2 linked regions of the Cricetulus griseus genome follow. The protein of the gene in region 1 interacts with the protein of each later gene in a pairwise test. Links are inferred from orthologs where the notes say so. Each region holds a gene or a part of one and is shown in the gene's direction. Other genes may lie near its edges.

Region 1 (3,817 bases):
GTATACTAGTGTTGCCTGTATCTTCTCCCCCCCCATATTGCTTCTTAATGTGTATTATTAAATTGATAACTGGAATGGGCAATAATTACTTGGTGTCTTAAATCTAATAAATGTCTTTGTATCTTTGAGTAATTCTTGAGGGCATAAATTCTCAAAGGTAGTCACACAAAGTAAGATGAAAGGCAACTGGATGTCTGTTTTCGGTAACCAAGCAAACACATTTTCCAAACTGAAGTCTTTGCATACGTAGAGTTTTTTACAGACAGGTTCAGTTTTCAGTCATGCCATGAGCATTACTTTGTACAAGAGGAATTTTAAACGACTGAGCAATGAAGGTGGAGATAGCCATCTTAAGGTTTTCATACTTACCTCAGAGGTTATCTGGTTTCATCTCCAAGGGGATCATAGCTAGTGAGCAGTAGTAGCTGTTGGACAGAGTCACAAAATGTCTCGGTAAGAATGAACTCTAGAGTTCTTTCATGGGGATCTAATTCTTCTTCCTTCTCACTTCTCTGAATTTGGGGGATATCTCCTTGTGTTATTTCATGTGCCTTGGGAGCAAACTTAACCAGAGCTTGCCTTCTGTGTTTTCTCAGGACAACACAGGACATCTCGCTGTCTTTGGCAGCAAGGAATTCTCAGCCTCACAGCCCGACATCTTCCTCTACATCTGGGAGTTCCTTGCTGCAGTCTCCACCATCTACCAGATTGTCTCCTGCTCAACACGCCTTGGTCTCAAACCAAGGTGACCATTCTACTCACCTGCCAAGGCAGCAGCAGCATTTTCTTCCTAATCAGAGTCACCAGGGGGACCACTATCGTCTCTCCCAGTCCACGTTGCCTCCTCCAACAGCACAGCAGCAGCCAGGAGAAGCCTACTCAGCTATGCCTCGGGCTCAGCAGTCTGCTTCTTATCAGCCCATGCCAGCTGATCCTTTTGCCATCGTCTCTAGAGCTCAGCAGATGGTTGAGATCCTCTCTGATGAGAATCGGAACTTGCGGCAGGAGTTGGATGCATGCTATGAGAAGGTGGCGAGACTACAGAAGGTACGGCTCCCCTTAAGGGTCAATAGAGACTTCTTTGAATCATTCTAGTGGGAGTTGTTAAATACCCGTTAAAAAATGTTTCATCTGTGTGTGCTTACTATCTCTTACGGGTAGATCTTTGACATTCTTTTTTTGATGTTGGTCAAACTTTAGAAAAAAAGCTTTATCTGCCTAAGATAACTGCCTTTTACTGTTTTTATTATCATACATTAATGATACAAAATAATGGATTTCATGATAAAATTTTCACACATGCATATCATGTACTTTCATCAGGGTCACTCTCACTTCCGTCTTTTGTCTCCCCCTTTCTTTAAGAGAAGTAACATGTTACATTTATACTAAAAGAAAAATACTACAGATGTTCCAAACTCTATAACTCTTAAGAAAACTTAGTTCATTGTCCTAGTCAAAAAGTCAGCAGATATACTTCTTAATAATGAGTATTAGTAGGTCTGTGCTCATGGAAAGCCCGCCAGCATTTAAACGCTTTTTGTCTTGTTTATATTTTCCCCATATGATTTTGAATCGAGAAAAAAATCCCACCAGCTGAGATTTTGTATGGTTCAGGAAGAGACTGACAGTGTTCTTCCTTGTGGTAGTTTTCTTCATAATTCTTTGACACTAGCCCTCTTCCCCACGTTTGCTTTGGTCTTTCTCCACAGATCCACTTCAACATCTGCTCCTTCTCTGGTGTGTGTGTGTCTGTGTGTGTGTGTGTGTGTCTGGGGGGGGGTGCACAAAAGGGATTTAGCACCACAGCTGGGTGACAGGTGACAGCCCTAGGCAGAGGAAATAGAAAAAGGAATGTGTGTCCCAAATTCCCATTCCTTCTTCTTCCCCTTACCCCCACTGTCTGCTGTAGCTGGGACTTTAGTTTTTGAGGGCCTCAAAGCCCAAATCTCAGTTCTTGCCTTAGTGGCTATTAGTAAATAGAATTATGCATTTGTTAGCTTCTTTGTAGCTTTTGGCCATGCAGAGTTCATGTGGCATGATCTCCTTGCAAACTGTTAAGGAAGTTCGAGGCTGAAGGCGGGGAGGGAAGGACAGTTGCCCTACTCTGTCCCTAAGACATAAGAGTGGAAATTTCAGGGGCCTGCATGAAGCTGAGAACTTGCCAACACCAGATCTTTTACCTAAAAGAGAAGAGGGCTAATTTTCCATAGTTAAGTGGTTTTTATATAGTGAAAAAAAAAATGCCCCCTTTCTCAATTTCCTCAAATCCAGTTGAAGGTTATGATGGATTGAGAGCTATTACTTTGTCTTGATTTTATGTTTTCTTGTCAGTTTGAAAATACCCCTTATTGCATTAATGGTGTACATGTACATGAATTTTGTGTATTGACTAGAAACCCTGTTTAGCTGATTAGACCTCCCCTAACTTTTAATTTGGGTTGGCCTGGCCTCATCTTTGACATAATCACTGGTTACTGAGCTCAGATCTTCTTTGTCAATGATCTCTGGTGACACTTGGAGCTGGGTTGGGTGACTAGTGCAGGGAGCAAAATCGGAATTTTGTTTATTGTTTGGTCCTTGTGCAGATGTATGTCAGAAAATGACAATTATGGCTTGCGCGTCTGCAGAAACAGTTCCAAGCCAATGCTGGGGTTCACAAAAGGTGACAGGAGGGGAGAAGAAAATGAAAGTAGATGGTAGAGCTAGAAAGAAGGAAGGTAGGAGGAAGGGGGAAGGGGGAAGGGGGAAGGGAAGGAAGGAGAAAAAGAAACAGAGGAAGAAAGGAGGACAGACAGAAAGAAAAAGAAAAAGGGAGAGACGAGAGAGAGAGAGAGAGAGAGAGAGAGAGAGAGAGAGTGAGAGAGAGAGAGAGAGAGAGAGCGGGAGAGCAAGCGAGCACTGGAGGCTCCTGAGGACAGAAAGTAGAATTAGCAAGCCCTAACTCCCAACCCACCCCACCCCCACCCCTGCCACTCTCCCTCTGTTTCACCTCTTCCATCACCCACACCGAGTCAGTGAATCTGCCTTTATTGGCCTTTCTGAGAAGGCCTTGTTGCATGGCTCTTTGCAAGAGGACAGTATCTCCACAAGGGAGAGGGGAAGGATTAGCAACACCAGATCCTTCCCAAGCAGGCTGTGCACTTGGAGAAAAGGGACTGTCGTCTAGGTGAGGCTTCTGGGCTGTAAGCAGGAAGCCTCCCTCACTTGCTCTTGGCTGACTCTTGCAGACCAACACCAAGCCTGCTCTTTCAAATGGAAATGTTTATTTTTCTCCTCTCCAGCACTTGAATTTCATGCAAAAGCCTCATCAGGCACAAGCCCTGCAGATCTTGTCTCTAAATGCCATTCACCAGTTTTCACCTTCTGTGCTGCTATCTGGGTGCCATCTGCAAGGAGAACAACACTCTCAAGTCTGCTCTTTTCAGTGCTGTAAGCCTCATTTGTTTGCAGGCAGTCCTGTCTCCAGCAGGATTTTGAAGATGGGGGCAGCTGGAATGGGAGTTGATTGTAACTGCGCTGTGTCTCCTCCCCCATCCTCCATTGGGCGCTTGTTTATTTCACCCCCTAACACACCCTGAGCTTTGTTCAAGAAGAGTGGCAAACTGAGAAGAAATGCAGGGTGGTTACAGGAGGAAGACTTAATTTGAAAATTGCTTAATAGGCCATGGGGTTTATTTGTCTTATACAAATTATATGCAAATAATCGCCGAGGTCATTACACGTGCACTGGAGCTGTACTGGTCACAGAAAACCTCTGGAGTCTGATTTCTTGTTTTCTTCCTGATTCTGGCTAATTCTGGACAGGAACCTTTGG
Region 2 (3,817 bases), on another chromosome or scaffold:
TCTGTGGCTCCAACCGGGCCGCCAGTCACTGATGTGGTTCTTCTGTCTCACCTTCACAGGCCATTGAGAAGCTGGTGGCTCTTCTTAATACGCTGGATAGGTGGATTGATGAAACCCCGCCGGTAGACCAGCCTTCCCGGTTTGGGAACAAGGCCTATAGGACCTGGTATGCCAAACTTGATCAGGTGAGACTGTCAGAGCACAGGCTGGGCCAGGCCAGTGGGAGGACTACTATGGCTCCATATGGGTCAAGGTCTGTGTTCAAAGCAAGCCTGTCTAGCTCCCAAGCATAAAATCGGGTAATTTGTTAGAATGGCAGTTTTATTTACCTAAATTACAAAATCATCCTCTGTCCCAGCCTGTCTTCTGGGAACTGCAGGTGTGGCTACACCTGTATGAGGCTGCTTATTAAGTCATTTTATTAGCAGCAGATTGGAAATGACTCAGGTATACATCATAAGAGGACAGGTTAACTATACTAGACCGTCCATACTGTAAAGTACTGTGCAGCTCTGAAAAGGAATAAGGAAGCCAGGTGGTAGTAACACACACCTTTAATTCCATTACTTGGAAGGCAGAGGCAATTGGAAAAAACTCCCTACCAAAAGAAAAAGGAAAAGTTGGGCAGGGGCATACACCCTTGAATCTTGGGTGGCAGAAGCAAGTGGATTCTGTAAATTTGAGACCAGCCTGATCTATACAAGTTCCAAGCCAGCCACAGTTACATAGTGAGACCCTAATCTTTAAAAAACCAAAACAAAGCCGGGTGGTGATGGTGCAGGCCTTTAATCCTAGCACTGGGGAGGCAGAGGCAGGCAGATCTCTGAGTTCGAGGCCAGCCTGGTCTACAGAGCGAGCTCCAGGACAGGCTCCGAAGCTCCAGAGAAACCTGTCTCAAACCCTGTCCCCCCAAAACAAAACAAAACAAAACTTAGCTTCTTACATCTGGAATTTACACGTGATCTTCTAGGGTCCAAAGGGTTTGGGCATCCTTGTGTCTCCAACTCTTCTGTCTGCAGCACACATAGCTTGTCTTGTATGTAGGCTCAAGTTGGCTCTACTCCACTCCTTGCACCTTGCTTGCACTTGCACTGTCCTGTGGTTTCCACTGCAATGAAGGCTGCACCATCACTAACAGCCCCCACACTCCAGCCTTGTCTTAGGGACTCTGACCTTGATGTCAAGCCTCAGTTTCTCTCTTCTATGACTTCTCATACCTTCAAAATCATTCCAGGTGGAGACTTTTACACATTACTCAGCTCAGCTTCCAGCTAGAGATGCAGCCTTGCCCAGACCACAGCTTGTCTACACAGTTTGTCTGGTGAAGTATTTCCCAGAACAGTTCTCAATGATGCTGATCTCATATCAACCACAATCAATTTTTCAGCACCGGATGACCAGAAACCATCACATGAATAGCCTCTGTAGAATCTGCTTCTTTGTGAAACTTCACAAGCCGGGCTTCCACTGTCTGCATTTTTCTCAACATTCTTCCTACAGAACAGCCTATTAAGCTCTGAGGACTCGATGTCTTTTCCAGCTCAATGTTCCTAACACTTCCACAGTCTTCCAATAAAACATGGTCATTTCCATTGATTCAACATCCATTCCTGGTACCAGTTTCTGTTCTTTTGGTCATGGTGTATATTGACAGTAACAGAGAAGAAGCAAACTGAAATAATTGGAAATTGTTTTAATCCAAAGCCAGAATTCATTCTCCTTTTTTTTTTTAAAATGAAATTCAGGTTGATAACTCAAATTGCAGTTTTTGTTTTTTATTTTATTTATTTTTTTGTTTTTTGTTTTTTCAAGACAGGGTTTCTCTGTGGCTTTGGAGGCTGTCCTGGAACTAGCTCTTGTAGACCAGGCTGGTCTCGAACTCACAGAGTTCACCTGCCTCTGCTTCCCGAGTGCTGGGATTAAAGGTGTGCGCCACCAATGCCCAGCTAAATTGCAGTTTTTAAAATCAGGTATTCTCTGTGGCTGGAGAGATGGTTCTGCATTAAGAGCATGTTGTTAACTATTTTTGAGACAGAGCCTTTCTAGTTAATCTGGGCTGTCCTGGAACTTGCTTTGTAGCAGGCTGGCCTCAAACTCAAACAGATCCTCCTTTGTCTGCCTACTGAGCGCTGGGATTAAAGGCTACTGTTGCAGAGAACCTGTGTTCAGTTCCCTAGCACCTACACTGGGTTGTTGTGGGAATTTATTCTGCCAAAAACTTTGGAGTAGCAGCCTTAGGGCATGGCTTCTTGTCTGTAGATGTTATCTCTCTGTCTCTCTCTCTCTCTCTCTCTCTCTCTCTCTCTCTCTCTCTCTCTCTCTCTCTCTCTTGGTTTTTCGAGACAGGGTTTCTCTGTGTAGCTTTGGATCCTATCCTGGCTTTCAATGTTATCTCTTAAAAGGAGAGAGATAGGAGTTCTCTCTTGAGTTGAGAATACTGGGTCAGGCAGCTTGAAGCAGCATGTGGCCAGTTCCTGTTTCCCTTGGGGAGAAGGACTTTGCAACTGGTTATCCTTGTTCTGTATCCATGAGTCTGTTTTCCCCATAGCATATCTCTCTCTGTCTCTGTCTCTGTCTCTGTCTGTCTCTCTCTATACATACATACATACATACATACATACATACATACATACATACATGCCACAGAGAAACCCTGCCTCGAAAACACACACACACACACACACACACACACACACACTTACTTTTGATTCTAGTAACACTGGGTTGCTCACGACTACCCGCAACTGCAGTTTTAGTGTATCCAACTCCCCCTTCTGGACTCCAAGGGCACTGCATGCATGTGATATCCATAAATGCACTCAAGGCAAACACACACAGTGCAATCTAGAGATACATTAACTTGATTTATGCTGAGGAGTGACAACAGGGACATTAGAGGTCTTTATTTTCTGTAGTTTTCTTTGATTTTGATTTTGTTTTTGTTTTTTTTTTTGTGTGTGTGTGTAATGCTGGCTATCCTAGAACTCACTTTGTAGACCAGGCTGGCCTTGAATTCCCAGAGATCTGCCTGCCTCTGCCTCTCCAGTGCTGGGATTAAAGGTGTGCATTGCCTCCACCTGGCAAGCCATTATATTTCTATTAGAGAACACTGTGCAGAGAAAGCTCTGCAGTTGCCAGCATGTGAGCCTGGGTGTGTCAGTCAGGGCTCATTGGTATTGTGTGGTGTGGTGGCATGCATGACAGCACTCACAGTGCCCAGGTGCATGCCGTGTGCTCAGAACCAAGGCCGAAGTGGCGTGTGTTGCAGCAGAGGAGAGCATTGCCAGCAACACCTTAGACTCAAAAATGCAGTTGATCTTTATTTTTATTTTTTATTTTTCCTCCGAGACCGGGTTTCTCTGTGTAGCTTTGGAGCCTATCCTGGCACTCACTCTGGAGACCAGGCTGGCCTCGAACTCAGATCCGCCTGCCTCTGCCTCCTGAGTGCTGGGATTAAAAGCGTGCTCCACCAACACCCGGCCTGCAGTTGATTTTTTATTAACTCTGACTGTTGATGCTGTTGCCACCCTGACATTCAGCTACCTCTACCCACAGTTTCAGGAGCTGGGTTTTCAGCTTGTCTGGGTTACAGACTCAGATGAGCAGACAAAGAGCCTGAGCCCACTGTATTGATGTACAGATCTTGTTTCCTTTGAGTTGGGAATGGGAGGAATGGAAGTTAGAAATGCATGTTTGTGCTGCTCATATTTGCAGAAGAAACACCCAGTAAAGTCCAGGAAGGTCATTAAGCTCTCTGTACTGTGCCATACCCCGGCTGTGGATTTTGAGGACAGTGGAGAATGGGGTGGACGGAGAC

The links.
Region 2: the proteins of Amot (region 1) and Ptpa interact in binary tests that used the Homo sapiens proteins (3 or more experiments, as listed by UniProt). The two-hybrid records come from large-scale screens. The link is inferred for Cricetulus griseus from reciprocal best matches to the Homo sapiens genes AMOT and PTPA.

The regions. Positions count from the first base shown.
Region 1 is NC_048604.1:35,457,358-35,461,174, forward strand, and holds part of Amot (angiomotin), read left to right. Parts: intron 1-596; coding exon 597-1,047; intron 1,048-3,817.
Region 2 is NC_048599.1:142,100,950-142,104,766, forward strand, and holds part of Ptpa (serine/threonine-protein phosphatase 2A activator), read left to right. Parts: intron 1-59; coding exon 60-185; intron 186-3,817. UniProt on the Homo sapiens protein: PPIases accelerate the folding of proteins. It catalyzes the cis-trans isomerization of proline imidic peptide bonds in oligopeptides. Acts as a regulatory subunit for serine/threonine-protein phosphatase 2A (PP2A).